Linked DNA regions of Pelodiscus sinensis. The protein of the gene in region 1 interacts with the protein of each later gene in a pairwise test. Links are inferred from orthologs where the notes say so. Each region holds a gene or a part of one and is shown in the gene's direction. Other genes may lie near its edges. The genes, in order: KEAP1, MAD2L1, ETF1 and WDR83.

Evidence for each region.
Region 2: the proteins of KEAP1 (region 1) and MAD2L1 interact in binary tests that used the Homo sapiens proteins (3 or more experiments, as listed by UniProt). The two-hybrid records come from large-scale screens. The link is inferred for Pelodiscus sinensis from reciprocal best matches to the Homo sapiens genes KEAP1 and MAD2L1.
Region 3: the proteins of KEAP1 (region 1) and ETF1 interact in binary tests that used the Homo sapiens proteins (3 or more experiments, as listed by UniProt). The two-hybrid records come from large-scale screens. The link is inferred for Pelodiscus sinensis from reciprocal best matches to the Homo sapiens genes KEAP1 and ETF1.
Region 4: the proteins of KEAP1 (region 1) and WDR83 interact in binary tests that used the Homo sapiens proteins (3 or more experiments, as listed by UniProt). The two-hybrid records come from large-scale screens. The link is inferred for Pelodiscus sinensis from reciprocal best matches to the Homo sapiens genes KEAP1 and WDR83.

Annotation. Positions count from the first base shown.
Region 1 is NW_027465991.1:323,334-330,191, reverse strand, and holds the start of KEAP1 (kelch-like ECH-associated protein 1), read left to right. Parts: upstream 1-3,857; 5' UTR 3,858-3,896; coding exon 3,897-4,013; intron 4,014-6,472; coding exon 6,473-6,858. UniProt on the Homo sapiens protein: Substrate-specific adapter of a BCR (BTB-CUL3-RBX1) E3 ubiquitin ligase complex that regulates the response to oxidative stress by targeting NFE2L2/NRF2 for ubiquitination.
Region 2 is NC_134715.1:36,054,715-36,062,270, reverse strand, and holds the start of MAD2L1 (mitotic spindle assembly checkpoint protein MAD2A), read left to right. Parts: upstream 1-4,554; 5' UTR 4,555-4,702; coding exon 4,703-4,775; intron 4,776-4,976; coding exon 4,977-5,123; intron 5,124-6,141; coding exon 6,142-6,262; intron 6,263-7,129; coding exon 7,130-7,233; intron 7,234-7,556. UniProt on the Homo sapiens protein: Component of the spindle-assembly checkpoint that prevents the onset of anaphase until all chromosomes are properly aligned at the metaphase plate.
Region 3 is NC_134727.1:4,050,309-4,057,395, forward strand, and holds the start of ETF1 (eukaryotic peptide chain release factor subunit 1), read left to right. Parts: upstream 1-4,085; 5' UTR 4,086-4,240; intron 4,241-4,315; 5' UTR 4,316-4,337; coding exon 4,338-4,423; intron 4,424-7,087. UniProt on the Homo sapiens protein: Component of the eRF1-eRF3-GTP ternary complex, a ternary complex that mediates translation termination in response to the termination codons. The eRF1-eRF3-GTP complex binds to a stop codon in the ribosomal A-site.
Region 4 is NC_134729.1:13,375,598-13,383,055, reverse strand, and holds the start of WDR83 (WD repeat domain-containing protein 83), read left to right. Parts: upstream 1-4,458; 5' UTR 4,459-4,872; exon of another isoform or gene 4,873-4,888; intron 4,889-4,998; 5' UTR 4,999-5,021; coding exon 5,022-5,124; intron 5,125-5,955; coding exon 5,956-6,076; intron 6,077-6,386; coding exon 6,387-6,492; intron 6,493-6,946; coding exon 6,947-6,995; intron 6,996-7,103; coding exon 7,104-7,230; intron 7,231-7,458. Other genes in the region: WDR83OS (PAT complex subunit Asterix), read right to left, coding at 793-859, 2,332-2,429, 3,623-3,728, 4,116-4,165. UniProt on the Homo sapiens protein: Molecular scaffold protein for various multimeric protein complexes. Acts as a module in the assembly of a multicomponent scaffold for the ERK pathway, linking ERK responses to specific agonists.

The DNA of each region.
Region 1 (6,858 bases):
CCTCAGGCAGCAAAAGGGAAAACCCCCAAACAGCGGGGGGGGGGGTCCCGAGGTCTGTGACCTGCTTGAAAATCCCACCAGCATGCCAAGGCTGCCCTCCACGCTGCCACTGTGTGTGGAGAAGGGGGGGGCCTGCAAAGGACCTTAACGTTTTCTGCTGAAAAACCTCCCTGAAGTCACAGATTCCCGGGGCCTGTTGCTGCCACCCCCCAAATGCAAAAGCCCCTTTGAGAACCCAGGAAGATACACTTGGAAATTTCTTCCTGTGGGGCTCATTGAGCTCTTGGAGCCTGAAACCCCCTATAATTGTCCTTAATGCGGGGGGGGGGGGAACCTTTTCTAGGTCAGTGACCCACAGAAAAATCAGTCAGGCCCAGGCTTGTAGATTTTGTGCGCTCCAGCCCCACAGGGGGGAACGGGGCAAGGGGGCCGCCCCGAGCCTCCAGGGCTGGATCCGGGCAAGCCTTAGGCCCCCCCCACCCCATAGCTGACCTTTCAGTCACAGATCCGCCGGCCTTCTAGGGCGCAGGAATCAGCCCCCGGCGTTAAAACGGGGATTTCAGGATCAAATGAAAGACGCTCCTTGGTCGCGGGGCGTTAGAGCAGCCAGAACCAAACCAGAGTCACGCCCCCGACTTGCTTCCCTGGGACTTGGCTTGGAGAGTTCGAGCAGAGCGGGGGTCCAGGGAGTGGACCCAGAGAGACCCAGCAGAGCCCACCATAAAAACAACCTGATGGCGTCCGACTGGCTCGTCCCTGCTCTACTCGCTGCCTGGTGCTTAGAGACTCAGCCCTTCCCTAGACCCGGATGTCTCTGGATCCGGCTCCCTGGCTTGGCCCCTGGCCCAGCTCTGCTTACACAGACTGGACCAGGTCGCTGCTTCCCATTCAAAAACCTGCGCTCTGCTCCCATTGGTTGGCCGGCTTCCTGCTTCCCGGTGTCCCAGAGCCTCTCTAGGCCCCGCTCTCTGTGGTTTGAACCCTCCAGGCAATTCCATGAACAGGAGGGCCGAAAGGGCCCCTCCCGGCCAACACCTTCTGCCCCACGTCAGGCCTCCCTCTGCCCTGGCAGTGTTCAAACCTTCCGGGAAAAGCCAGACACAGGTGCTGAGCTCTGGGGTTCCTGCCCTCCGGCCTTGCTCCTGCAACAAGGGAGTTTTTCCTGTTCCCACGGGGGTGGGGGGGCAGCGGGTCCTTGGGCATCCCAGCGGCTGGGGGTGAGGCACGGTCCCAGGCATTAGCAGGCGCTCTGGGGTGCCGACAGCAGGGGGCCGCAGCTGGAACCCCCGTACTCCAGAGGCTCCAGGCCAGAGGGGCGCAGCTGCTGCAGCCACCTGGCGGCTGGGACAGGTGCTCACGGGGTTGCCCCTGGGGATTAGCAGAGGTGCCCTGGGGGGCTCCCAGGTGATTTCTAGCACAGAGACCTTCTCAGCGGCAAGTGTGAAAATCCAAGTCACGTGCCTTCTGCGTCACCCAGCCAGAAAGCATCGCATGGAACCCTGGCTCCCGGCGACCCCCTCCCCTCCCAGAGCTGGGCGAGAACCCAGGAGTCCTGCGTCCCAGCAAAGCACCAGGCCCGGCGAGTGGGACCCAGCTGAGAGGCGCTGGAAGGGGGGACTAGGGAGGGGAGATTGGGAGAGCTACATTCGCGCACTTGGAGCCAGGCGGCAGCTGGGGGTGGGGCACAAACCACTCAGAGCTGAGAGTTAGAGGGATCCACTTGGGGGGGCTGAAGGGGGGAGCCTGGGGGCAAGCTCAGGGAGACACAGAAGAGCAGAGCCAAGGCAGGGCCTGGAGCTGAGTGCCCTGCCAGTGATTCCCTGGCTCCTGAGCTACACCCCCCCATGCGGGAAACGGCCGCCCAGGGCAGCACTTGGCGCAGGAACCAGGGCTGAGCCCTGTGTGAACACCAAATGTGTCTCCACCTCCGATCCATGATTGTGGGGCCTGACGCCGGGGTGCAAAGACGCCCAGGCAGGAGCCTGGGAAACACCTGGTACGAGTGTTGTACTTAAAAGAAGCACTCGGGATCTTTTTCAGAGGGACAAGGCAACACGCCACATTTACTGATCACACATAGAATAATCAACACTTATCATATGGACATGATACATATATGTCACTCACACACACACACACACACACACACACACACACTCTCCGTCTTGCTGTTGTTACCAACGAGTTGCTCCCCTTAACTTCACTGGCCAGGTGAGTTAGATGGGGGAGGGGTGGAGCCGGGCTTCTGCTGATCCGGATCGATGCTCCGATGGTGACTAGACGAAACCCGGGGTCCTCTGCAAGACACCTCACTTTTATAGCAGCTTCCCTCTTATGCAAATAGATCCCAGATTCAAACTCTGGGTCTGTGTCCCTTGGTCCCTTTGTGGGTGTTGTCTGTTCAGAGAGGGTGTTTTCCAAAGAGGGTGCTTGCTTCTAATCCCCAAGGCGGTGGATATGTCTGCTTGGGTCTGGCTTCCACCCCCTCTTCAACTGGGGTAGCTCTCTGGAGGGGCTGGGCTCCCAAGTCTTACTCATTCACACCTCGTTCATTCAACAGGGCAACTGATTGGGGGGGGGGGGAGTAGGGGGAAAATCTTATTCTACTCCTAGCAAATGACATTTTTACCACTTTAACTGTAGATTCAGTTTTCTACGTCGGGTTCTAATACAAAGTGACACGGTTCTATGGAGAGGCACATGCCAAGTCACATGCCGCAATATACAATACACAGATTTATCTACACGAGTGCCACCTCTGCACCTGTCCCCGAGGGGGGCGCTGTCTCCACTGCAGCCCTGTTGTGATGCAGCCACTTCTGGGGTGGGTGAGGAGACGGTTTTACAGGGATTCCTCGCCCCAGTTGAGATGCAGCTGCCATGGGCCGTGGTGGAAGGGCCCAGATGGCGGAGGGTCGCTCTCAGAACACGCAGCCCCAGGAGCCTCTCTATGGCAGCTCAGTGGAGCAAGCTGGTGCCCACTGGGCCACAAAAGGGGCTGAGACCCTGCAAACTCATTGCACTTGGGCCTCCACACAGAGGCACAGGCCAGTCGCTGCTCCCCAGGGAGTCCTAGGAGCGCCTGGAGGCAGGGCACCTTCCCTGTCCGGTACAAAGTCCCGGAGCCTCTCCGGGCTGGGCAGGCGGAGGGCAAAGGGCAGCAGCCCCCCCTTGTTCTTTCATAGCACCCAGGGCTCCGTGGGCCCTGCCCCAGAGAGCTCAGGCAGCGAGGGGCCCCCAGAACTGAAAGGGACGGGGCAGGCTGAGAGAGGGGCCCCCCCAGAACTGAAAGGGACGGGGCAGGCTGAGAGAGGGGCCCCCCCAGAACTGAAAGGGACGGGGCAGGCTGAGAGAGGGGCCCCCCCAGAACTGAAAGGGACGGGGCAGGCTGAGAGAGGGCCCCCCCTTACTCCAGAGAGGGCCCCCCCAGAACTGAAAGGGACGGGGCAGGCTGAGAGAGGGGCCCCCCCAGAACTGAAAGGGACGGGGCAGGCTGAGAGAGGGGCCCCCCTTACCCCAGAGAGGGCCCCCCCTTACTCCAGAGAGGGCCCCCCCAGAACTGAAAGGGACGGGGCAGGCTGAGAGAGGGCCCCCCCCTTACCTTTGCTCCCCCTGCCCCAGCCTGCTTCCGTCCCAGCCACCCCGCCCCCCTTCTGTGCCTCCCCCAGGCTCTGCCCCTAATCTCCCCCAGTCATCCCGCGCCCCCCATTCATCCTCTGCAGCGCCCCCCCGCGCCCTAATTCTGCCCCCAGGCCGGAGCGGATGCGCCGCTTCCCCGCCGCGTTCTCGAACCCGAACGCTGGGGCCGCCGCGTTCCATCCGGCCGGGGACTGGGGGGGGGGGCGGGTGGAAACCAGGGGACTCTTATTCTGACAGCGGCCGCGCTCTGCTTAGTCATGGTGACTCCCCCCCCGCGCCGCTCCCTCCCCCCAGCCCTGCCTGCGCCATGGAGGAGCCGAGCCGGGCCCAGCCGGGACGAGCGGGCGAACCAGGAGGGCCGGGGCCATGTCTGGGTTAGTGACCCCCCCGGAGAGAGGGGATCCCCGCCCCCCCCCGGGCTTGTGGGGAACCCGCCCCCGGGCTCCGGGGACCTGCTGCACAAGCCCCCCCCCCAGGTGCTCTCACTAGCTGGGCCCTCCCGGAACTGTCAGGGACCCCCCGAAGTGGGGGGTAGGGCCCTGGAGTGGATGAATTGTGGGGGCGCCATTGAGTTGGAAGCGGGAGGAAGGAAAACGGGGGGGGGGGGTTGCGGCCGAGCCCCCCCCCCCCGGCCCATGTGGCGCTTTGTCTGGGTCGCTTTAGTCAGCTGTTTGGGGGCTGGGGTGTATGGGGCGGGGGCGGGGGTTGTGCATGTGTAGCTCTCACGGGGGGTCACTGCCCTAGATCGGGGACCAGTACTCCCCCCCCCCCCCGGCCTTTCTGCTTATCGCTCCACCGGCCTGCCACGAGCCTGGATTGGGGGGTTATTCCTGGATTGGGGTCACCCCCCCCGCACACACGCGTCCGAGGAAGTCCCTGCGTGTGACAGCTGGGGGCGGGGGTGTCGCCGATTCGCTGGCTCTAGCGTCTTGGGGGGGAGCAGGCGGGACCCAGGCTTAGGGGCTGCTGGAACTGAGCTCCCCCTCGTAGGGACCTTGTTTAGAGCCCCCCATGCCCAGCTCCCTTGTCAGGCAGGCGGCGGGGGGGGCAGCGGGCTCTGGTCAATGTTTTCCATTTCTGGCTGCATCCCTGAAATTGCAACACGTCCCCGGATGGGCCACCCACTGGCCTCCTTCACCCCAGCCCCCCCCCCCCTTGGTGGCTGCAGGATGGATAGCTCCCTGGTGAGGGCTGTCCTGGCATCAGGGAGGGGGTGCTCTAGCAGGGCGGGGATACAGAGTCATGTTGTTCCTCGCCCTCCCCAACTTGTAACTTTAGGCAAGCTCCTTCCCCTGGCTGTGCCTCAGTTTCCCCATCTATGCAATGGCATCATGGTACTGTGGTAATTAGGGGGGTGAGGGAGGTGCCCGCTGCCCTCTGCTGAATAGCATCAGAACAGCTCAGCTGTGTCATAGGCCCTGCACTGATAACACCTATGGGGAGTTCCTAGAGAGGGAGCATGAGCCCTGCTGAGCAGGCGGGCGGGGCAGGGTGCTCCCCTGGTCTGTGAGCTGCATGGGGCCCAGGACGCGGAGGCTGGGTGGCAGGACGAGTTCAGGCAGCCGGCAGGGCAGAGCTGGGCTGGGCCAGGGATTTTCTGGATCTGTCCCTGGCCTCCGGGCTCAGGAGCTGCGCTCACAGCAGACGCTGCATGAGCCCAGGTGCCCGCGTGGTGTGGGCACTGGGCTGGGACTCAGGACACCCGGGGTTCCCTCCCTGGTTCCGACACCTGGGGCCGCCAGACTGCGGCCTCTTTGGGGCAGAGACTGGGCGTGCCTGGCCCGGCGGGTGCCCCCCAGCTGTGACCCAGGCCCTATGGCCCTAGGACATGTCTGTTTCTAGGGCAGGGGTCTCCAGCTTTTAAAGCACGAGATCACTTTTAGAATTGAAGTGTAATCCAGGATCCACCTCAAACCCAAACTCCCTGACCCCGCCCCTTTCCCAAGGCCCCGCCCTGCTCCCTCCCCCGTCCTCACTCACTTTTATCAGGCTGGGGGCAGGGATTTGGGGGGCAGGGGTTCAGAGCTGGCTCCAGCTGGGCACTGGGGGGTGGTGCAGGGGGCCAAGGCAGGCTCTCCCCTCCCCTGGCCCTGCACCACTCCCAAAAGCAGCCAGCAAACTCCCTCCAACCCTGCCCCCCTCTGCTCTGTGGAGCTGGGGTACAGGGTGGGGGGAGGGACAGCCTGACATCAGCACCCCCTCCTCTTCCCGTGCCCTGCGCAGTGAGCAGGAGGCTCCCAGGGGTGGGGGCAGCTCCAAGGCAGAGGGCAGGAGCAGCACGGCCGTGCTGGGTGCCGGCACTTGACAGCCTCCCTACCAAACCTCTCAGGATCCAGCGGGGGCCACCTGGGGGATTGTTGGGGGCCGGGGGCCTGCTGGGGGAACGGGGCTGCATGGGGGAGATGCTGGGGGCAGAACAGGGGGCCGCCTGGGGGGCTTGTTGGGGGCTGGGGGGACTGCTGGGGGAACGGGGCTGCATGGGGGGACGCTGGGGACTTGTGGGGGGCTGGCAGGGTTGGGGGGGCTGCACGGAGGGTAGCCGGGGGTGAGCTCTGACCCTGAGGACCCTTTCCCCAACCCCGCTGATTTGAGGCTCAGTCCCCGTGTCCTTGGCTGTGCCTGGCCTCCGCGCTCCAGTCCTTGGCCTACCTCCGAGCGGGGCCCTCGTTAGCAGTGATTCTGCCTCGTTAACGCTGGAGCCAGCCCCCAGGAATGGAGCCGGGGCTGGGGGGGTGGCCCCCCCGGCCTGGCCCGCTGGGGGCTGCGGCAGCCCAGTGGGGAGAGACCCCCGCGCTCCCAGCCGGGCCCCCTCCTAAGCCCGTCTCCCCCGCAGGTGTGGCTTTGCTGCGGTGCCCCCGGGCTCAGTAAGGTGCCCCCCGGCGGCCTAGCCCCTCCCCCCGCGGCGATGTACGCGCCGGAGTGCAAGGCGGAGGTGACGCCGTCGCCTCACGGGCAGGGCACCTTCAGCTACACCCTGGAGGAGCACACCAAGCAGGCCTTCGGCATCATGAACCAGCTGCGGCTCAGCCAGCAGCTCTGCGACGTCACCCTGCGGGTGCGCTACCAGGACGCCCCCCCGGCCGACTTCCAGGCCCACAAGGTGGTGCTGGCCTCCTCCAGCCCCGTCTTCAAGGCCATGTTCACCACGGGGCTGCGGGAGCAGGCCATGGAGGTGGTGCCCATCGAGGGCATCCACCCCAGGGTGATGGAGCGGCTCAT
Region 2 (7,556 bases), on another chromosome or scaffold:
ATGGAAGTGCAAATGGAGGATACCGCTGTACCACAGGACTCCTCATCTTCCTATCCCGATGAGGCCTTAACAGCCCCAGCCCCATCTTTGCCGTCAATGGATGCAAGGGCCCATCAGGACCTCCTACGAAGGCTGGCGAAGAATTTGGCAGTAAAGGTAGAGTAGGTCCAGGAGGATACAGATCCCGTGGTTGACATCCTCTCCACTGCAACCCCGGGCAGGGTGGCCTTGCCCCTGATAAAAACGGTGGATAAGTTGGCCAAGCCCCTCTGGCTGACACCGGCCTCCGTCCCGCCCACCCAGAAGGGGGTGGAGAGACAATACTTTGTTCCTCAAGATGGGCATGACTTTTGGTTTTCCCACCCACCCCCGAGTTCCTTGGTTGTTCAGGCAGCAGGACAAAAGGAAAGACAGGGTCCCCCCGGGTCAACCTCTAAAGCCAGGGACCCAAAAAAATTGGACCTCCTGGGACGTAAGCCTATTCCACATAAGGCTATGCTGGGACACTATGCGTATAATACTTGGTCCGCTATGGACAAATTTTGGGACCATTTGCCACAGGAAGACCGCCAAGAGTTTAGGACCCTGGCAGACGAAGGCAGGACGGTGGCCCGTATGGTCTTTCAGGCGGCTTTAGACGTAGCTGATTCAGCTGCATGGACAATGGCACCAGTTGTTATGCGATGGACTGTATGGCTAAACGTGTCGGGCATTCCACCCGATGTGCAAACCTCCCTTCAGGACTTGCCCTTTGAAGGAGCGGATCTTTTTTCATATCAAACGGACTCCAAACTGCATAGTCTGAATGATTCCCGGGCAACTCTTAAGTCTCTGGGAATCCATACGCCCGGTCCACTTAGGCGACCCCTCAACCCCAAGCCTGCTACAAGGCAATTTCAGCGGGGTTTTACCTATGACCGCAGCAGAAGGCAGGGCCGTAATTTTTTTTAGAAATAACCCGCCTACAAACCGGCGCAGAGCTTCTAGACCAACTTAAGATAAGGGCCCCACTACGTATGCGGGTCAGTGCCCCAAATCACCATTTTGAGGGCACGATCGAGGATAGCATACCAGTCACGTCTTCTTCCCCCCCCTTTGGTTTTCATTTATCCCGTTTCCACCAAGCCTGGGTATCTATAACATCAGACCAGTGGATTCTCAGCCTGGTGGCATGGGGCTATTCTATCCCCTTTACTTCCCCTCTGCCCCCATCTCCTCCCCACTCCCCTTCCTCCCTTTTCAGGGACCCCCCTCTCACAAAACACTGCTGAGGGAGGAGGTGGTGAAGCTCCTGAATCTCGGGGCAGTGGAGCCCGTCCCGGACGAGTTATGGGGGAGGGGGTTTTACTCCCATTATTTCCTTGCACCAAAGGCAAAAGGGGGATTTCATCCTATTCTAGACCTCAGAGGACTAAATACATTTATAAAGAAGACAATGTTCAAAATGGTCACTCTAGCATCAATTATTCCCTCCCTACAAAAAGGAGACTGGTTTGCTGCCCTCGATTTGAAATTTGCATATTTCCACGTCATGGTGTTGCCCTCCCACAGGAAGTTCTTGCGGTTCACAGTAGCCCAGGACCACTTTCAGTTTACAGTCCTACCCTTCGGACTCACCACAGCGCCAAGGGTCTTTACCAAATGTATGGTCCCGGTGGCAGCTGCATTGAGACGCCACGGGGTATAAGTCTTCCCTTACCTGGATGACTGGTTGATTCGTGGCTCATCTCAGGACCAGGTAGCCACACACGTTTCCAGGAGCCTATTCCTGCAGTTGGGCCTTATACTGAACAAGGAGGAGTCCATGATGGTCCCCTCCCAGACTATAGAGTTTGTAGCAACGTTCCTGGATTCCACCACAGGAACAGCATCCTTGCCCATGCACAGGTTCCAGACTATGCAGGCAATGATCAGGGACCTTCACATTTTTCCAATGACCACCACGCGCAACTGCATGCGCCTGTTTATTTAAGAAGTACTAATAATCTTTAACTCAAAATAGAAATATGAGACCAACTGCCTCATACTGCAAAACTACCAATATTAAAAACTCGAGTTTTATTATTATTTTTCATTGTTTTTTCCTAGGTTGATGGGACCCTCAGATAACTGGAATTTTTAGATAACCGGAACACCCTAATCCCCGATGAGCGTGCCAGATAACACAGGTTTTACTGTATTCCAAGCCACTCAGTAGGAAGCTAGATAGGCCTCCCTTCCTCACTCTCAAATAGCAGATGATTCAGTATCTTACTTGGACTTTACTTCAAGGCAAATTCCTTATTCAGATAAGACAATTTGGCATCAGACTATGTGATTTGAGGGAGGTTGGGATGAGCAACACAGTGTATTGGGATGAGCAACACATCCCCCTTCGCTGGCCTTTCTGATGACATACATTGGGACAAATATCTATTTGTCTCAAACCAAGATATGTATAGGACACAGTCCAAACAATTCTAGAATAAACACACCATTTCCCAGAGGTTACCTAACTGCTCCAGTAGGTGCTGATTTTAGGGATGTAAAAACCCATTAAAATAGTTAACTGATTAAACAATTAAAATTACAGTGCTTAAACAATTAATCATTGCATCACAGGTGACACCTGTTGCAGCCTTCATGAATAGGGTCCTGCCGGTTGAGCTACTATGCCACAGGGGTGGAATGTGGGGCTGTTCCTGTCCACTGTGCAGAGGGTGGGTGTGCTGCAGGCAGGGGGGCTGCTCCGGCCCATCCTGCAATGGCTGTGGGCAGAGGGCTTCTCCGGACCACTCTGCTTCAGCTAGGGTCCAGCCAGCCTATTGCAGCCACAGGCAGAGTCCAGCTGTGGTCCTGCTGTGGGCAAAGGGCTGCTCTGGACAGGCCATTTATGCAGTTACTGGGTAAGCAGGTCGATAAGACTACTGCTTCTTTTTCTGAACCCATTTTTTCTGCTGCTTCTTTTTCTGAACCAATTTTTCCCCATATGGGGAAGCTGTACGTTCACTGTATTCCAACAGGATTGAAGACATGTTCCTTAATTTTCTTGCCCTTTTAACAGCTGTACTTTTACTTTTCCTCTATGGAAACAAATTATGAATCTTGCATATAAAAAAGGGGACGAACTGAATGTATTCTGGCTGTACTGTAAAGTGACAATTACAGAACCCAGTGACAGGCACTTGGGAGATGGAAAGAGACCTATTGTTTCCTCTAATGCAGCTTGTAGCTATGAGCCTTGTGCAGCCCACAGGGGTTTATATGTATGGCCCATGAGAAATTGTGTTTACAGCTGCCCATGCACAGGGTTGCTAGATTCCAGTGGTATGTGTGCATCACTTTTTTCCTATTGGTATTACTGAAGTGGCATACACATAAAGGGCACATAAAATGATGTTTGTGCTTATTGCACACAGCATTGACTAGAGAGCTGTGCACTCCCTTTGCATCCAGTCAAAGTGCTGCTATAAATTATAAATTAGGTCATCCCACAAATTCTAAGTACACAAGTGCAGATAGCAAATCTACCCTATTCCAAGGGACCATCTTGGTAAAACAATCTTGCAACCCACTCAGATGAATGAGCATCACTCATGCAATCCGCTCACTAGCTTAGGTTGCCCAGCACTGTTTTAATCCATCCCCGAAGGACCAATAATATTGTTAACATTTGCATTTAGAACATTTAAGGTTTGGAAGTTGCCAGGAACAGCCCCTCCACCATCACTTTCCTTTAATCTCCTTCTATAGCCCAATACATGTCCCTCTAAAGAAATTCAACCCCACCAGCCTGAGTGGTCTGCTCATTTTCATTGCACATTTGCATTACTGCCAATTGCACCGTCTTCTCTATGCCGAACAGCTCCTTTCCCCCCTCCAGCGGATAAAACTTTTCAACCACGTGTAGACTGCATGGACTGAAACACCAGGAAGAAATAAAGGCATCCCAGCCACAGCATGGTGTTGAATCTCTGCCCATCCTAATAGCTATTGGTGGACCTGTCCTGCGGGAACCTTTCTTGAGCGGTAACAGCTAATTGACACACCGAGGTTTTGCAGGCATCGTTGAGATTGTTTTCCAGCTGCGTTACTTTTCATTTACCGTACAGCCTCAGCTGGCTGGCTCTGACACACACACACACTCCCATAAACTGGAAAGCCGCCCTTAATTTCAATTCCTGGGGAAAACACCGGCCCCAGCGCCGGGGATCACACGTTAGGCGGCAGCTGCCCGCGCTTAACGTTTGCTTTGAGAAACATGGGGGATTCCCCGGGGTGGGGAGGGACTCGAGTCCCAGCCCCCCCCCCCCCAGCACGCGCAGGGGATTGCAGCCGTGCAGGGTCCGGGCGTGTTTGCACTTTCGAACCTCCGCGTCCCTCGCGGTGTAGCGCACGGCCCGCTCGGGGGGGGGGGGGGGGCGGGGAGTCAGGGCACGCGCTGCCCCTTCCCACACAGCTGGTCGGCGCGGCGCCCCCGCGAACGCTCAGGTCCCAGCGCAACCCCGACCGCTTCGCCAAGCCCGCCAAGACAGAAAGTTACTGCGCCTGCGCCCAAGGGCGGCGGTTCCGGGAGGGAGGAGCGGCGGCGCTTGCGGGAAGTGCCGCCATTGGGCAGCGCCTGTGCTTCGGCGCGAACGCTCGGGGCGGCGCGCGCCTATGAGGCGGCGCGCGGGCAGCGCCTGATTTGAAGCGGGCGGCGGGGACGCGGTACCGCCGCGCCATGGCCAAGCAGCTGAGCCGGGAGCAGGGCATCACCCTGCGGGGCAGCGCCGAGATCGTGGCCGAGTTCTTCTGTGAGTCGGCGGCCGGGCGGCTCCGGGCCGCCGCACTGGGGGCGATGAACCGAGCGCGGGGGGAGGGAGCCTGGGGGCCGCGGAGGGGCCTGGGGGCCGCGTCTCTGCCGAGCGCTCCGCTTTGTGTAACGGGGCGGGATGCCGGGGGCGGGCTCTCTACTCGGGGAGTCCCGTGACGAAGCCGCCTCTCCTGCCTTTCAGCTTTCGGCATCAACAGCATTTTGTACCAGCGCGGGGTCTACCCCTCGGAGACCTTCACGCGCGTGCAGAAGTACGGGCTCACCCTGCTGGTAACCACAGACCCGGACCTGAAAAACTACCTCAACAACGTGGTGGAGCAGCTGAAAGGTAGCGCAGAGCCAAGCCACCGAAATGGGCGCTCGCTTTGATCTCCTGTATCTTCGGCGCCTGGCATAGGTCAAAGCTGTCACGAGTCTCGAGTGCGACATGCATAGGAACTGTGTGATAGTCCATGTTTGTTTATATTTACCCATCCTATTTATATATGTTGGGGAGAGTCTTATTTTGGGAGACCTGGAGAGGGTCCAGCGTAGGGCAACCAAAATGATTAGGGGGCTGGAGCATATGACTTATGAGGAGAGGCTGAGGGAGTTGGGTCTGTTTAGTCTGCAGAAGAGAAGAGTGAGGGGGGATTTGATAGCAGCCTTCCAACTTCCTGAAGAGAGGTTCCAAAGAGGATGGAGAGAGGCTGTTCTCAGTAGTGACAGATGGCAGAACAAGGAGCAATGGTCTCAAGTTGTGGTGGGAGAGGTCCAGTTGGATATTAGGAAAAACTATTTCACTAGGAGGGTGGTGAAGCACTGGAATGGGTTACCTAGGGAAGTAGTGGAATCTCCATCCCTAGAGGTGTTTAAGTCTCGGCTTGACAAAGCCCTGGCTGGGTTGATATAGTTGGGATTGGTCCTGTCTAGAGCAGGGGCTGGACTTGATGACCTTCTAGGTCTCTTCCAGCTCTATGGTTCTATGATTCTATCCAGTCCTCACTAAGGCAAAGTAGTTTCTTGCCCTTCAGTGCTCAAATGTGAATTTCTTAAACAGGTTACATTCTCTTAGTATGTATGTTCAGCTTGCCTATTTACATAGCCAATGTCTGTTGTGTTTTTATATTTCTGAATTCGCTATTTAGTTGTGAAGTGAACGTATACTTTAAGGTTTGTCACTAACTTATTTAGGATGTTGACTCCACATTAACAGCTTTTCCACAGTGAAACTACTAGTGCAGATAGTAATGTGAGATTTAATGACAGCTCTCTTTTTTTTTATATATATATATGTGTGTGTGTGTGTGTAGTAGAGTGATCTCCGTTATCTGACTGTAGGGAAATTTTTATTTTTCTTATTTCAGATTGGTTATACAAATGTTCAGTACAACGGCTGGTTGTAGTGATCTCTAGCATTGAAAGCAGTGAGGTTCTTGAAAGGTGGCAGTTTGATATTGAATGTGACAAGACTGCAAAGGATGAAAGGTAATGCACTCAAAATTACACTTGGGCCCATGAATGCTAAATATACTATTTATATATTTTTGTCAGTTTCTAAGGTGCTACAAGACCATTGTTTGTTTGTTTTTTTCAAAATTACACTGTTATAAATCCTTCCTGTTGGTTCATGCTAGTAGTCGATTAGATGCGAGTGTTAAAGGCCCTTTGTATTTATAGGCTGTGCTGCAACATTTAAAAAACACTCAGGTGCAGAGAGAATACACCAGAGCAGAAATCTTTCACAGCATTGTATAGTTTTCAGTTTGCTGGTAATTAACTAGTGTGCTTCATTCTAAATCAAATGAAAAACTTTTGATCTCAGCTGAATATATAACTCCCATTTACTTTAAAAGAAGCTGTATATGAAAGATAGAATTTTCCCCCTTTTTTAAAAAAATTTATTGTATAAAGCTGTTATTTTCTTCAGCAACTATTTCAGACTTCAAGGTAGTATTGATTGCTACTATTCTCCTAAATTTCTCATATTGAGAAGCAATTACTTTGGTAGCAGTATTATCCCATAAACCAGTTCTCAAGGAAATCAAGACAGAGGCTGGTAGTCTTAACATTGTGAGGTCTCATGGAAGAACAATGAATCAAAATCATAAGCTGTCATTTTGGTTATATTTTTCCAAACCTTGATCATCCACTTTGTATTTCACTACATAGTATTTGTCCATTTGAGAGAGGGGGGGGGAGCGCGGGGGGTGTGTGTGTGTGTGTGAAGGAAAATTGTCTCTATTGTATAGCAAGAACAGCTTTTAAACAATTTAATGAAGAGATGTAGATACAGAGAAATTTTCTGTTATAACAAAAGCTTTTTTCTATATTGACAACTTATTACTCATGTAGTGTACCAAGAGAGAAATCTCAGAAAGCTATCCAGGAGGAAATTCGATCTGTTATCAGACAAATAACTGCCACTGTAACATTTCTTCCTTTGCTGGAAACAGCCTGTGAGTATTCCAGACTTTTGTGTGATTAATGGAACACTAACAACTCTAGAAGAAAATGTCTTTTAAACTTGAATTGGAACTTTAATCTAAAGGAGACAGCTACCTTTTTAACTATGAACGGTATACTGTTCATGCAGACTTGAATGACAAATCTATATCAAAATGAAGGATTTAAAAAAAGACACCTAATCACGTCCATTTCTTCTGCAATTTTGTAAAACATTCTGGCTACATCTACACTGCAGGCTTTTTGCATGAGAACTGTTTTGCGCATGAGCATGTCCACGCTGCCATGTGCTTTTGCGCAAGAGCATCCATGGCAG
Region 3 (7,087 bases), on another chromosome or scaffold:
CTCTGCTGCACTTTAAGCCCATTACTCCTTGTCCTGTCCTCAGAAACCAAGAGGAACAAATTTTCGCCTTCCTCCTTGTGACACCCTTTTAGATATTTGAAAACCGCTATCATGTCCCCCCTTAATCTTCTTTTTTCCAAACTAAACAAGCCCAGTTCATGAATGTCAATCTTCACGCCATTTACCCCCTCTGCGCCCGCCTGTGGGTACCGGAGAGCAATGTGTGAGCACGGGCTTTGGGCCTAGCTCTGCGGGCTGCTCCGCACTGACACAAAAAGGTGAATTTTTCCATTGAGTTAGCAGGATACTATTGATCCCCTCCCGCCCCAGCTGTTTAACACCTTTCAGATCCTTGGAGCTGGTTGGGTCGTAACCTAGCTAACAATCGTTTTGTGGACAGGACGGGGGGGAGGGGACGTTGCACTGATTTCACTCTGCGTCGTTAAAGAAACACACACCCAGTCACTAGAGCAGCCCTGAGTAACCCGCGTGTCGTAGTTCTGAGATCCTCAGCTCACAGGCAACACCAAGTTCTTGTAGTTCCACCCAGAATGCCCAAGAGGGGCTCGTAGCAATGGCTGAGCTCAGCCGCATGTTGGCGACGGCTCGCGAGCCTCCTGCATGGCTCTAAAAGGTCCCTTGAGACACGCTTGGCTGCAGCGTCCAGTTCCGTCCCTCTTCGAGGCCTGGTGCTGGGTGTGCGACCGGCCAGGGACCACTTTTGCATGGGGCTCTCACCCATGGAAATATGCAGATCTCTGGGGGAGAGGGGTAATGCCCGGGCAAGCTGCTGACATCTCACATCTCAAGCATGTGCCCCATCTATCTGCGGGCATTGTCTGCGCTCCATGCCCACCTGGCAGACATTGACCATAAGCCCGGCACACCCGCAGCTCGGGCAGTGGTGCAGGCAGCCTGCTAGTGAGCAATGGGACGTGCAGCTGACAGTCTCCGAGTTGCTCACACCTTGTGACAGCCAGGGCGGGCTTTAACAAGCGTGGGGCCTGATTCGCGCATGCGCTGTGTGCCCAGGGCGGGGCCCGATTCCGGGGAATCGCCACCCGGCCCTGGTGACGGCTGTCGCAGGCCCTTCAGGGTGGCTTTGAACAAGTTAGCAGAAATCTCTTGTTTTTCCGAGCCACTGAACCTTGCCCCTGGCTCCCATTTGAAGCGCATGGCTTGAAATGAGTCTTGTGTCCAGGTCTGGGCACCATATTTCAGGCAAGATGTGGAGAAATTGCAGAGGGTCCAGAGAAGAGCAGCAAAAATGATGAAAAGTCTAGAGAACATGAGCTCTGAGGGAGGACTGAAGGAATTGGGCTTGTTTAGTTTGGAAAGGAGAAGACTGAGAAGGGACATGATAGCAGTTTCCAGTTACCTAAAAGGGTGTCACAGGGAGGAGGGGGTGAAAATGGTTTTCCTTGGCCTCTGAGGACAGGACAAGACGCAATGGGGCTTAAACTGCAGCAAGGGAGGTTTAGGTTGGACATTAGGAAAAACTTCCTACCTGTCAGGGTGGTTAAACACTGGAATAAATTGCCTAGGGAGGTTGTGGAATCTCCATCTCTGGAGATATTTAAGAGCAGGTTGGACAGACACCTGTCAAGGATGATCTAGACGGTGCTTGGTCCTGCCGGGGGGGGCAGGGGACTGGACTTGATAACCTCCCGAGGTCCCTTCCATAGTGTTCTATGATTCTAAGCCGCTGCCACGAAAAACGGGATGGGAGTTACAAGGGAATTTTGAGAGTTAGGCTGTTTCTCACTCAGTTCTCCCTGGGGATTCCAAGGCTAACTGAAATCCAGGGCTTCTGGGAGCCGTAGCGGGAAGCGAGGAATAAACACTCACTGAGCGCTGAGATTGCAATGGTGTAGTGTAGCGTAACAATGGATGTGGACAAAGCAGATTGTGTAGTGCCGGGTTGGGACTCACACCAGCGCTCTTTACTGGGTCAGCTAGCAATGGTGCAGTTATCCAGGCAGACACAACCTGATTCGTGCCAGGTTATGCAGTTTATCTCAGGTAAAGGGACTGACGCATTTCCTGACTCCCAGTTCAGTGTCTTAACTGCAAGACCAAGTTTTCTTTTGCTCTGCTCATTCACTTAAACATGAGGTCCCATCCTGGACAGGGACACTTTGACTAGAGCAGCCTTTTGCTGGTCACGCAGGGCGTGCTTTGGTTGGAATATGCAGCTGGAAAATATAGGCCTTGCTCTGTATATCATTTACTCTAGCAATGGAGATGAAATACTGGATAGGGTTCTTTGACCAGTGGGATACAGTGTCTAACTGGTATCGTAATAATTCCTCCTGGCCTTAATGAGGCTGTGGTGCCAGATAATGGTTTTCTAGTGAGCGTGTAGCCATTTTGACATAGGAAACTACGTCCCCGTCAAGTCACAGCTACTATCAGGCAAGCGTCCCCTTTCTAGCTAGTCGCCAAGTCTCAGTAACTGAGGATACGTCTAGACTACAGGCTTTTGTCGACAGAAGTTTTATTGACAGATATGACAGTGTAGATGCAATAACGCCTTCTGTCAACAGAACTCTGTCAACAGAAGGCGTTATTCCTCGTAGAATGAGTTTTACAGCCATCGACAAAACTGCTGAGTTCTGTTGACGTTATGTTGACAGAACTCAGTGGCAGTGTAGACCCAGGGATAGTTTTGTCGACCAAAGTCCACTTTTGTCAACCAAACCCTGTAGTCTAGACACACCCTGAGTGCCAAAGGGTGAGGGTAGCTGTGCGACACACTCTGGTGGATGTTTATGAGAACGGCCATACTGGGTGGGAGCAATGGTCCATCGACCCCAGTATCCTCTCTTCCAACCAGGCCCGCCTATGAGGGAGTGGTATGAGGACAGGGGGCAACTGCCCCAGGTCTGGTGATTCAAAAGGGCCTTGGGCCCTGTAAATTGGGCCCTGGAAGGCTCTGGGCAACTCTGAGGGTCCCCAGGCCTGCCCCTTCCACCCAATGCCTCACCCTTTCCAGCAGCACAGAGCTGTCTGTCGGCCCCCCTGCTTATGACAGTGGCTGACGCCAGGTGCTTCTGAGAGAATGAACAGAACAGGTGACCGCTGATCCATGCCACCGTCCACTACTAACTTCTGGCAACTAGAGGCGAGACCCACCCAGAGCATGGGGTTACATCCCGGGGTGAAAGGAACTTAACATTTCTTAGAGGTACAACCCGGAGCCCTGCCAGCTTTCTCAATAGCTCCCTGCTGGTTTTTGCCAGAGCTCAGCCAGTTCTTGCCGGAGTGGCGCCAGCGCTGACTTTCCCCTCTGCTTGCCTCCCTGCCCCCCGGGGGGACGTGGCTCCCGCTGTGGGGGGCTGTCGTGCCAGGCAGGCAGACAAGGAGCCCTGAGCGCTGCGCCGGGCGGGTACGCGGGAGGCGCCAGGGAGCGGCACTGCAGGCCTGTGCCCGCGCCAGCGCGGTTCTGCGGTGGGGGCGGCGTGTACAAGGGGGGCCGGGGGGGCCCAGCTCCCCCAAGCTCCGGAGACGCCTCACGCCCGCTGGCTCCCACTGGGCCCCCGGGGTCCCTGCGCTAGGCTGGGCGCACGGGGAGCCCTGCTAGGCAGCGGGTCCTGCTCAGCCCCAGCCGGGGGGGCTCCAGCGGGGTGGGGCAGGATCGGGCCCTGCTGCCCCCAGGAGGGGCGGGGGGGGCATAACCCGGGGGGAGGGGCACGGCTGCCGCGCCCTGGCTTTGCTGCCCGCCACGTGGGCAGCGCCCCGCCCTGGCCCGCCAACAGGTCCCTCCCGCGCCAGCTGACGCCTCCCCCCCTCCCACGTGCGCCTTCCCCTTTAAGAGCCAGCGCTTGGCCTGACGCGGCATTGCTGAGACATCGCGAGAGCCAGGCCTTCCCGTCTGCGTCCCTCCCGGCGGGGGGGAACTACACACCCCGACAGGCGCCGCGCGCGGGGCGGAGGCTGGCCTGAGCTGTCCAGCCAATAGCGACGGGGAGCGCGCGGCCCGGCGGCGCCAGCCAATGGCGGCGAGCGAAGGGAAAGGCGCCGATTGGCGGAGCCGGAGGGGGTCCCGCCCCCCTCGCCTCTCCTCCCCGCCCTCTCCGGGGTCCCTCGGAAGTGATGTCACAGGCCCCATGTGAGCGGATTGCAACACATGCAGCGCGGAGAGGGGGAGAGAAGCCGGTTTCCGACGTCAGAGCCGCCGCGAGCCGCCCCCGCCGCCGCGCAGGGAGGAGCCGCCGCCGCCGGGGGGACAGCGCCTGAGGTGAGCGGCGGGCGCGCGGGGGGGCGCGCGGGGGGCCGGGCCGGGACTAACGGCTGTCTGTCCCCCGGCGCGCAGGGAGGAGGCGGAGCAGCAGAAGATGGCGGACGACCCCAGCGCTGCCGACCGGAACGTGGAGATCTGGAAGATCAAGAAGCTCATCAAGAGCCTGGAGGCGGCGCGCGGGTGAGCAGCGGCCGGGAGGAGGGGGGGGCGAGGCCCGGCCCGGCCCTGGGCCCCCGAGCGGCAGGGCCGCGGGGGGGGGGATCCTCGCGTGTCGGGGCTGCGGGCGGGCGGGCCCCGCTCGCCCCTTCCCCCCCCCCCCTCCGGCCCCGCGCCTCACGGGCACCCGGCTCCCGCTGGGGCACGCGGCTCGCTGCCCTGCCCGGAGCCGGCACCTGCCCCGCGGCTCCACCCAGACACCAGCTCGGTGACACCGGGGGGGAAGGCGGGGCCGGGGGCTGCGATGCTCACCTCACACCGGTAGCGCCTGGATCCCTTGGAGCTGCCCGAGCGGGCGTCGCCTGGAACGTGAGCTGGGCCCCTGGCCCTGGGGCGCTAAGCCCCTGGCCCTGGGGACAGTGGCAGTGGCCATGTGCTCTGCGTTTTGGTCAGCCCTGGGTGGAGACGAAGCTCCTGAAACCCGGCGTCTTCTCCGCCCCGCCGAGCGCGGGGGGACCGTGAGGTTTGCTAGTGAAGTTGCCATTCGTACCCACGCGCCGCGCCATCACTGACCGTGGGTTCCAGCCCCGGGCGCTGGAAGACACTTCCCTTTCCCCTTGCAGTTGTTCCAGTGTCACCAGCTGGGGAGAGAGTGCGGGGGCCTTGGGCTTTCTTTAGCAGGCTCTGATAATCTGTCTGAACAGGCTGTGGAAACAAAGCAGGTGCCTTGGGTGTTTCAGTTGATTTCAGCTGAAAATAAAACTCTTTGTGGTAAAGGCTGGAGTATTTTAAATGCAAACAAGTGGGGCCGGGAGGGAGAGTGAAGTGTTCCCTGTAGAGGCACAACGATAAGTCGAATTACAAAAGCGAAGCATGGAATTGATTTTTTTTTTAACAGAGAAGTGCAGTGTCTCCCTTAAGGCACTACTGGGAGCCCAGGAAATGGGTTTGTGTTGCAGTTGGTAGGTCTGAGACTTAGTTCATTAAGCCAAAGCTCTCTAGAGCTGTGTGCCCATGGAATCACCGCAGGTCTGCTCTGTTTTTCAGCACTGAAGACTAACCCTGTGCAGCTAAGGGAAGTGGGGGATAATCTGAACACTGCCTTTTCCTGGTGGCTTCAGAGCACCTTGCTCAGCATTCCCGGGGTGCAGCCCTGCTCTTCAGTGGGGGTGGAGCGGGGGACTGCCCATGGCCCATTTGTCATGTCGGCATCTAGTCTGTGGAGTATTTCTAGGCTTGTTCAGATAGATCCTCACCCAGCATTAGGACTACCTTGGATGTAAGGGCAGGCTGGAGTAAAGGCGGCTCCTGCCTTGACTTTTGCTCAGATCTGCAGTGAGCGAGGTACAGCTTTATATGCTTATCCCATCAGTCACACCGCAGGTAGGGTCTTTCCTCTTTACTGTCATAGCTGAAAAAGTGAATGACTCCCTGGGAAAGAGCGAGAGCTCCTGACGTCCCCCAAAGCTGTCAGCAAGCCCTTCTCAAAAAATGTAGGGTCACTTGCTATTATAAGCTACTGAATCTGTTTTGCCCCAGGCCTTTCTCCGTAGTTTCTGCAGCAAGTTAGGTGCAAAAAAAAAAAAAAGGGAAATTGTGTGAAGCTTCTTGAACTCTGGCTTCTCAACATTGAGCCCGGCACCCCCTTTTTGACTCTCGATCTTACGGAGATGAGATGGGGGAGGTGATACCTTTTATTGGCCCAACACAGAGCTCTTCACAACTGTACCAATCTCATATGTTTCTGAGTGTTTTTTTTTTAATCATCCTGGGTTCATGTGACCAGTCACTATATTTTTGCTGAATATCCAGTCTGTCTTCCCCAGGAGCCTGAGCTATGTCTGTACTGCAGCCTGGAGCAAACCTCCTAGCCCAATGGGAGACACGCATGCTAGCTGGGCTCAAGCTAACACTGCTAAAAATAGCGGTGTAACTATTGTAGCCCAAGCAGCAGCTTGGATGCTGAAGCCACCCAAACCCCTGGGTCTGAACTCAGGCGGCTAGCCCAAGTCTCGGTTGCAGCAGCCACGCTGTTGTTTTTAGCACACCTGCATGGCTGCCAGAGCTCTGGGCGTTGGAGCTACTGGGCAGCTCATGAGAGAGAGCGTGTTTCTTTGAGTTCAAAGGCAGTAGGCAACTCAGCAGATGGGTGGTACAGGTGTGTGCTGGAGCATCCTGTTAAACGCTTGAGAAGTGAGCCACTCTGCTCTGGGGAGTTTGGCCACCATAAGCCTCAGGAAAAAGGCAGCCTGGAAATTAGCACAGTGAACGCGGTCAAGGAAAAGGATAACCGCCTCGAAATCAAGCGTTATTGTAAAGTACCGGCCGGTAGGCTAAGAGCACTAAGGGAAGCGGTGGCTGGAGGAGGAGGCTCTTGTATGTTGGCTAATGTATAGTAAAATCCTCACACAGACAAGGCAGCCTTAACTTGAAGTTGTGCTAGTAGCTGGTCAGGGAAACACTGGAGCCTAGGATTCACATAGCTCTGCCACACGTGGTAGAACTGCAGCGGCTGCGTTTTCATTAAGGTTTTAGTTTGGCTGCGCTGAAAAGTTGTTTTCACAGCTACATTGGTCAGGCACGGGGGAGGAGAGGGAGCACACCCTCACCCACACACCTACGCCAACAAACGCTCAAGTGCAGACGCAGTTGTGGTTGGCAGAAGGAGGCTTCTGTCGATGTAGCTAA
Region 4 (7,458 bases), on another chromosome or scaffold:
GTTTGCACAGTGAGTGCAGTGGTCGCTCAAGGCACTGTGGGACACCTCCGGAGGCCAATTACAGCGATCTAGGTGTCCACACCGGCAGGCCAACAGTAAGGCCTCAGCACCAAACCCCTGATGACTCTGGGAAGTGGCTTTATGACCTCGTTATGACTGAGGGGTCTGGACCCAAAACGAGGCTTGTCCGTGTGACCGCCTCAGGTGTTTATTGAAAAAGGCTGATTTTTAGTGCAAAACCGTGCAAGTGTCGACCAGACCTTTGTGACTCATTCCACACTCGTCCTCTGTCCTGTCAACAAGTCAGTTAGCGCCGATCAGAGTGAATTACTTTTACAGTTTTCAGAGGGGTCACCAGGTGAGCCTATTTCTGCAAATCAAGGCAACCTGGGGCCCCTTAAAGACTAACAAATTCATAGATACAACTGACAAAGTGGGTTCCAGCGTAGGAACGCTGCTGCCCAAATGAATGTGTTAGTCTTTAAGGTGCCATCGACTCCTCGTTGTTTTATTTACAATGCAGGTCCTTGGAAACGGGACTAAGAACCACAAAATATCAGTTACGTGGTAAATACCTTAAGCCGCTCCTGAAACTGGAGACAGAGAGTTGAAAGGCCCCATTCCACACACACAGAGGTTATTTTTGAATCAAAGCTCCTACAGCAACCACCCGTTTATTTAGATCCCCAAGTGTTTCAACACAGTGTTCATACACACGGATGGTTATAGCCTGTGGGCCCTTCCTCTCCCCTGACAGTTTCTCGTTGCGATTTTCAGGGAGCTGTAATCTCCTCACCATGGCGGGGACATGGGCTGGGGGTTCTGTAGGTAGGACATCACCACAGCAGATATAGACAACCTGAAGCCAGAGGAAAAAAATGAATAATGTTAAAAATAAACCAACCAGGAGGTTTTATTTATTATTTCAATTAGGGATGTAAAGGGTTACATGGTTACCAGGTAAGCATGATTCCTGGGATAACCAGTCAACCAGTGCCCAGCCTAGCCGGAACAGCACCCCTAACTCACAACACAACACAAGAGGCCAGTTAACAGTTTAAGAAGTTAATATTTTAAATGGAATTTTACATCCCTAATTTCAACATCCCCCTTCATGTCTAGGTCTCATACAGCACCAGCATGTCAGCGAACGATTCCCTGGTTTGCATTGCTGACCCTGCATGCGGCTTGCTCACCACACAGAAATGGAGCCGTCTCTCCAGGGCAAGGCAGCCGTTGCCTAGCATCAAACTCTGCACCAGTATTTCAGAGGAGATGAAAAATCTTCCATTCAAGGAAAACTGCAGGGCAGGTGTTTAAGGAAAAGGACTGTGGGTACCAGAGTTGGGATTGGTCAGGATATGCACCCGCAGCTCAGCTTTTAGGAAAAGATGCCGTGAAATTTAATATCCAAGAATGATCAAGACTTTGGTTCGGAATCTCATTCTAACCTGGCGTCTCCCACAGAGCAGCCTCTCTTCCCAAGCACCATGCGGGGGCACTGGCTCGCTGCTCACTCGGATAACAAGGGCTCCGAACTAATCACCACACCATTTATCCCCCTTTCACAGATGGAGAAACCAAGGCAGCAGGAAAGTGTCAAAGTACAAATCATGCAGGATTAGGGGCAGAGTTAGGCCCAGACCCCAAAAGTTCGGCTTCTACAGCTCTGCTCAAACCACAACGCAGCAGCCACTGGTGAGGAGGGACTGGTGGGGGGTGCTAGCTACATGACCCTCCCCAGCCCGGGGAAGTGGCAGGGCAACCCCCCTATACCCCAGGCCCTGCCCCTGCTCTGCCCTCCCCCACTTCTTCCCCATCTCTTCCCCCAACCGAGGCGGCACAGGGGACTAGTGGGGCAGGGGGTCAGGTGCCAGCAACAGGAGTCTGTACTGCCCTGCCCCGCCCGCCCCCCCACTCACTGGCAATGGCAGGAGAAGTGGAGTAAGGAGGCTCTAGCTCACTTGGCTCTCCTGGCCACATCACTCCATTTCCTGCTGGGGAGTACAGGGGCAGTCCCGCCACCCCTCCACAGAGCAGCACACCAGGAGAGCAAAGCAAGCTGGGGCCCCTGCTGCCAGTGAGTGTGGCTGGAGGGGGAGAGGAGGGGCAACTCCTGCTGCCAGCACCAGGCCCTCCCCCTCCCCCCACTTGCCACCCCATCAGTGGCTGGCCAGGTCTTTCCGCCAAGGGCGTTTAGCGCCCATGACACACGCACACATCTATGCTCCCCCACCCATCGCCCCTGCACAGGCAAGTGGGCACATTTGGACACGCATCTTCCACTCCCATGGGCAACGAATGAGAAGCCAAAGGAAGACAACGACTCACATGAAGCTGCTCATCATCTGTTTGGTGTCCTCTGAGCTTCTGGAGTTGGCAAAGCTAATGAAGGAGCAATAGACGGCAATCCAAGCGCACCACTTCAGCTAGAAACACAGAGGAACTCATCTGAGAGCTGCCAAGGGGGCCCTCACCGGATCTCTCCATATCTTCACTATCTAACCGCACCAGGCAAGCATCCAAACTCTTCAAACATTCACTAGACAAAGTTCCCAGTTCCTGCTCCCTTGGGAAGCGAGTTAGAGCCAGTACCATTGCACAGACTCATGCAGCAAGAGCTTAGAGTTGGACTTCAGTGTCCTGACTCCCAATCCCTTGATTTAACCATTAGGCCACAGTCCCTCCCCCAGCCAGGAAGAGACCACAAGAGCCTTGACTCCCAGTTCCTTTTCTACTCATTACACACTCAGCCAGGACTAGAAGTAACGAACCCTCCTCTTTCCACCCAGTTTCAGTGCAATGGCTTAGACTAGTGATTCCCAACCTTTTTGAGCATATGGACCCCTTTTCAATCTATTAAAATGTCATGGAACCCCCTCCCTGCGGCAGGAAAAGAAAGAAAAGGAAATGCCCTTTATTTTTAAACTTTCCACAGACCCCCTGCAGTACTGAGGCAAACGACCAGGGGGTCAGCAGTCCACAGGTTGCTTAGCCCCTCCCCCTTCCATCTCCCAAGTCATTTAATCTTGGAAGACTGTGGAATCCCTCTCACTGGAGGTTTTTAAGATCAGGCGCAGGCAAAATACAGCTCATGGCTGAATCTGGCCCACCAAGCCTTTGGATCCAGCCACAATCTGCCAGGACCCTCAGGCAAAGTCCCCCCTGCCTATGGTAGTCCCAGGCCACTCCAAGTGTCTGGCTGCTGGGTTCATGTGTCTCTCTGTGCCACACCCCTTATGGGAGTGGGGGAAGACTTCATGCACTGTTCCCACAGCCAGCACAATTGCCACAGCTCCCACTGGCCAGAAACAGTTGAAATCACTACTATTTGTAGCCCTGCAGTTGAGCCAATTGCTCTCGCTCGGTGCCAAGGGTTTTTTGGCACAACACAGATACATTCTAGGTAGCGTCTAGAAGTCCCTTTCTGCTCTGCAATCTTTCTTGGAGTCTGTGAAAGCAGCCGCTTGGTTCAGGGAACAGGCGCTGTGAGTCAAGGCAGCGCTGCAGTGCCCAGCGGCACAAATGTTCTTTGTAATAAGGAGTAACGTGGCTCGGGTTTGCTTTGCCAAGAAGGCACCGCGCCCGCCCCAGATCTGACGCTCGTTCCTTTCCTGCTCACCTTCAGCATTAAGCCGCACATGCTGAAAATCATCCCCAGCAGGTTCATGTAATCGGGAGTGGGGTCTTCCAGCGTGGGGTTGTTCTCCGTGGTTGGCGGCTTGTACCTACACAGCGCGTCAGGACAGAGAGAAGGGAGCGTTAACTCAGCCCCGGTCACCCGCGGGAGCACCCAGCGGACCAGGGATCTGCCCAGCCCTAGCTCGGGGGGGTGGGGGGGGTCAGGAATCAGCGGGGGGGGGGGTCTCATCTGGGGCACAATCAGGCAGTGAGATGCGGAGCCTCCCGCCTCCGCTGACCAGGCCGGAGGGAGGGAGCGGGGCGTGGCCGCCATGGGGGGGGGGGGGACCGGGGTCTCCGCTTCCCTCCTCCGGGCCACGCGCCAGGGAACCCGACAACTGCCCCCCCCCCCGCAGCTGGGCACCGCGATCAGACCGCTCCCCCGGGGGGGGGGGGCGCCCCGCAGCGATCGCTCAACCCCCCCCCCCCCTCACCTCAGCACCTTGTTGGGCCGGCGCGGGTCCGCCATGCTGTTGCTGGACATTGGCTCGCGCGGGGGGCGCGGTTCGGTGTAACACGCCCCGGCCCGAAGCGATGGTTCCGGTTAAACCCCTGAGCGGCGCGAGCCGAGTCCCGAGCCGGCCCCCACGCGGGGAGGGGGCGAGCCGGGGCTGACAGCGAATCCCCCCCCCACACACACACACACACCCCGCGGCGGGTCCCTGCTCAGGGGAGGCGGGACATGGCGGGGCGGAACCAAGGGAGCCGGAACCTGCGGGCCGGGGGACGGGAATAGGAGCCGGACGCGGAATTTCCGGCTTCTTCCCGGGTACCAACGTGGGGGGAGGAAGCAAGAGGGGCCATAGGGGCGGGGGAAGCTCTGGGATGATTGAGGCCGTAATAGGCTGTAGGGGTTGGAAGGACCTGGGGTGGCTATAGGGGGCTCTATAGGTGCCAGGCTGGGGAGAGGCCATAGGGGGTTGAAGGACAGTGGGCACCGTTCTATAGGGGGTGGCTCTAGGAGACTGGAAATGTGTGAAGCCCCTTATGGCTCCCTGGGTCTTCAGAGGGTGACCTCTGGCCACCCTGCAAACCTAGCCAGGCCCTAAATATAAAGGGGGTTGGATTTCCCCTTTGGCCCTGCCTCCTGTGGCAGCAACAGCCACAAAATCACCTTCCGGTTGTTTCCTAAGCCAGGACGGAACCGTCTGCTTCCCCGAGCGAGTGAGTCCTGCTCCCAGGGAGACACCTGTAAGGCCGGAGTCTGGTGAGAAATTTGTAACCCCTCCCCCAGCCTGCCCCAGTTGAGTCGCGTCACCAACCCCACGCGAACGGAGTCCAGCTCTCCCAGATTTACCCCCGTGGGAATTGCCACAGGTCCCAGCCGCTTGGGTCCCATCATGGCGTTTCCTGAACCGAAGCCCCAGAAGACAGAGCTGCCAAAGAAGCTGGTGCAGACTCTGGAGTGCAAACAGGGAGCAGTCAGGGCAGTGCGATTTAATGGTGAGCACATCCTCACGGGTCCCATAAAATGAAAGAGTGGGGACTACGAGATTGGAATGGGAGCCAGGACTCTTGGGTTCTGTTCCCAGTTCTGGGAGCGGGGTCTAGTGGTTAGAGCAGTAAGTCAGCGCAGTGAAGGCTATTTAGAGACCCATTGTTGCCAGCATATGTCAAGAGCTTAGGCCAAGGCTACTCAACTTTAAAGCCCCAGGGGCCACAATGATACTCACAGCACATGCCGAGGGCCGCAACTTAAATGTAGTTTAATGTACATGCAAATATATGGGGCTTCACGCAGCTTCTTTCACACAGTGCCCCGGCGCTCCCGACACCTCCTCCCTGGGGGCTAGAAACACTGGCACCCTGTACCTGTCTGTTCCAGCCAGCCCGTCCACTTGCATCTTTCACTGCTCACCCCACCTGGGAGACGCCTCGCCGTTTGGAATGTGTTCCCAGTGGAGGCCACGTTCAAAGGATCCCACCCGTGGGCCGTGTGTTGAGCCCCGTGTAAACCCCAACTGCACCACGGGCTGCGTATGGAGTAGCCCTGGCCTACGCTGTTAGGATGTTGCCTATTGTGTCCTGGTGGGAATGAGGGGAGTCTGTGTCCCTGCGTAGGTCTGCTCTTAGGTTCTCCCATCATTTTGGGGAGCTTGGGGACAGCGGATGAGCATGCATGAAGGAGTTTGGCTAGCAAGGAGCCATGCAGAGGGAGTGGACATCAGAGAGGAGAGTGCAGGTGTGGGGTGGAAATGCTGGATGTGGGGCAGACACTGGCAGCTGTGCTCTTACATGGTCCTTGTGCATCGTTCTTTGTCCCATCTCCCACAGTGGATGGAAATTACTGTCTCACCTGTGGCAGCGATAAGTCCTTGAAGCTGTGGAACCCCCACAAGGGGACCGTCCTGAAGACCTACAGCGGCCATGGCTATGAAGTGTTGGACGCGGCTGGGTAAGGGCAGGGGGTGGACTCCACTTCTCTCATAACCGGCAGGATTTCAGGAGTGAAACCACTTTAGAGTGTTTGGTTTGGAAGTGGTTAGAGTGGGGGGAGGAAGGGGTTAATGGCAGAGGCGGAGTGAGGACTCCTGGGTTGTGTTCTGTCACTGATTTGCTGTGTGGCACCTCCCCCTTTGGTGCCTCAGTTTCCCCATCTGTAAAACAGGCACAACTACACCGACATGCCAAAGAGATGCAAAGCCTCCCTGCACGGCCAGCTCCCCATGGTAGAGCCTAACCTTGTCTTCCTGTTTCCCCCACAGCTCCTTCGATAACAGCCAGCTCTGCTCCTGCGGGGCTGACAAAACGGTTGTCCTGTGGGATGTGGCCACTGGGCAGGTGATCCGCAAGTTCCGAGGCCACGCTGGGGTGAGGCCCGTTTGGTTATGGCTGTGCTGCCTGGGTTGGGGGTCGATGCATGTTCCCATCAGCCAGCCAGCCGGCTACGTGTTGGGGAAGGGCCCAGCTGCCCTCTCCCTGTCCCACTGGGACTCGGCACAAGCCACAGTGCAGCTGGATGCTCCCTCGCTTACTACACCAGTCCTGGGAGGGTCCTTGCTCCCAGCCAGGGACTGAATCGAGGGGGGACTGCCTAGAGGGGTGTGTGAGCATTGCAGGGTGGTGAAGCAGCAGGGTTGAGTTGCTTGTAGAGGGCAGCTGCAGGGGATGGGATGGGGGCAGTGTTGGTGTGGCATGGGAGGGGGAGATGCTGATGAGCTGGGGCAATTGCTTGGGGGACGGCCCAGCAAGTGCAGGGCCCCATGCTGCAGCTGCGACTCTACTCAGCCCCGGCTGTCTGCCCACCCCCTCTCTCCACCCACAGAAGGTGAACTGTGTGCAGTTCAACGAGGAGGCCACTGTGATCCTGTCAGGTGAGCAAACCGGCTCAGGTGCCCCAGCTGACTCGCTAGCCGGGGGCTAGGCCCAGCGAGGGCCTTGGCCAGGCTGTTACTCTCCCTCCGCTCTGTGCTCCCTCCTAGGCTCCATCGATTCTAGCATCCGGTGCTGGGATTGCCGCTCACGCAGACCCGAGCCCATCCAGATCCTGGACGAAGCCAAGGACGGGGTGTCCAGCCTGAAAGTGTCGGACCACGAGATCCTCTCTGGGTGAGGGGGGGCACCACTGGGGGAAGGGAGCTGAAGGGAGCTATAGAGCCCAGTGTGAGTTAGAACTGCTGGAGGAGCCAGGCTCAGACCAAAGACTTGTCGGAGCTGGGAGAGGAATTCCCTCAATCAGAGACACGTGGCCTCAGGTTTGCCCTTTGCAGGGTGCCACACGTGGGAATGGAGCTGGTTCAGGGGCTTGACTCCCTCCGCTGCCTGTATCCCTAGGCG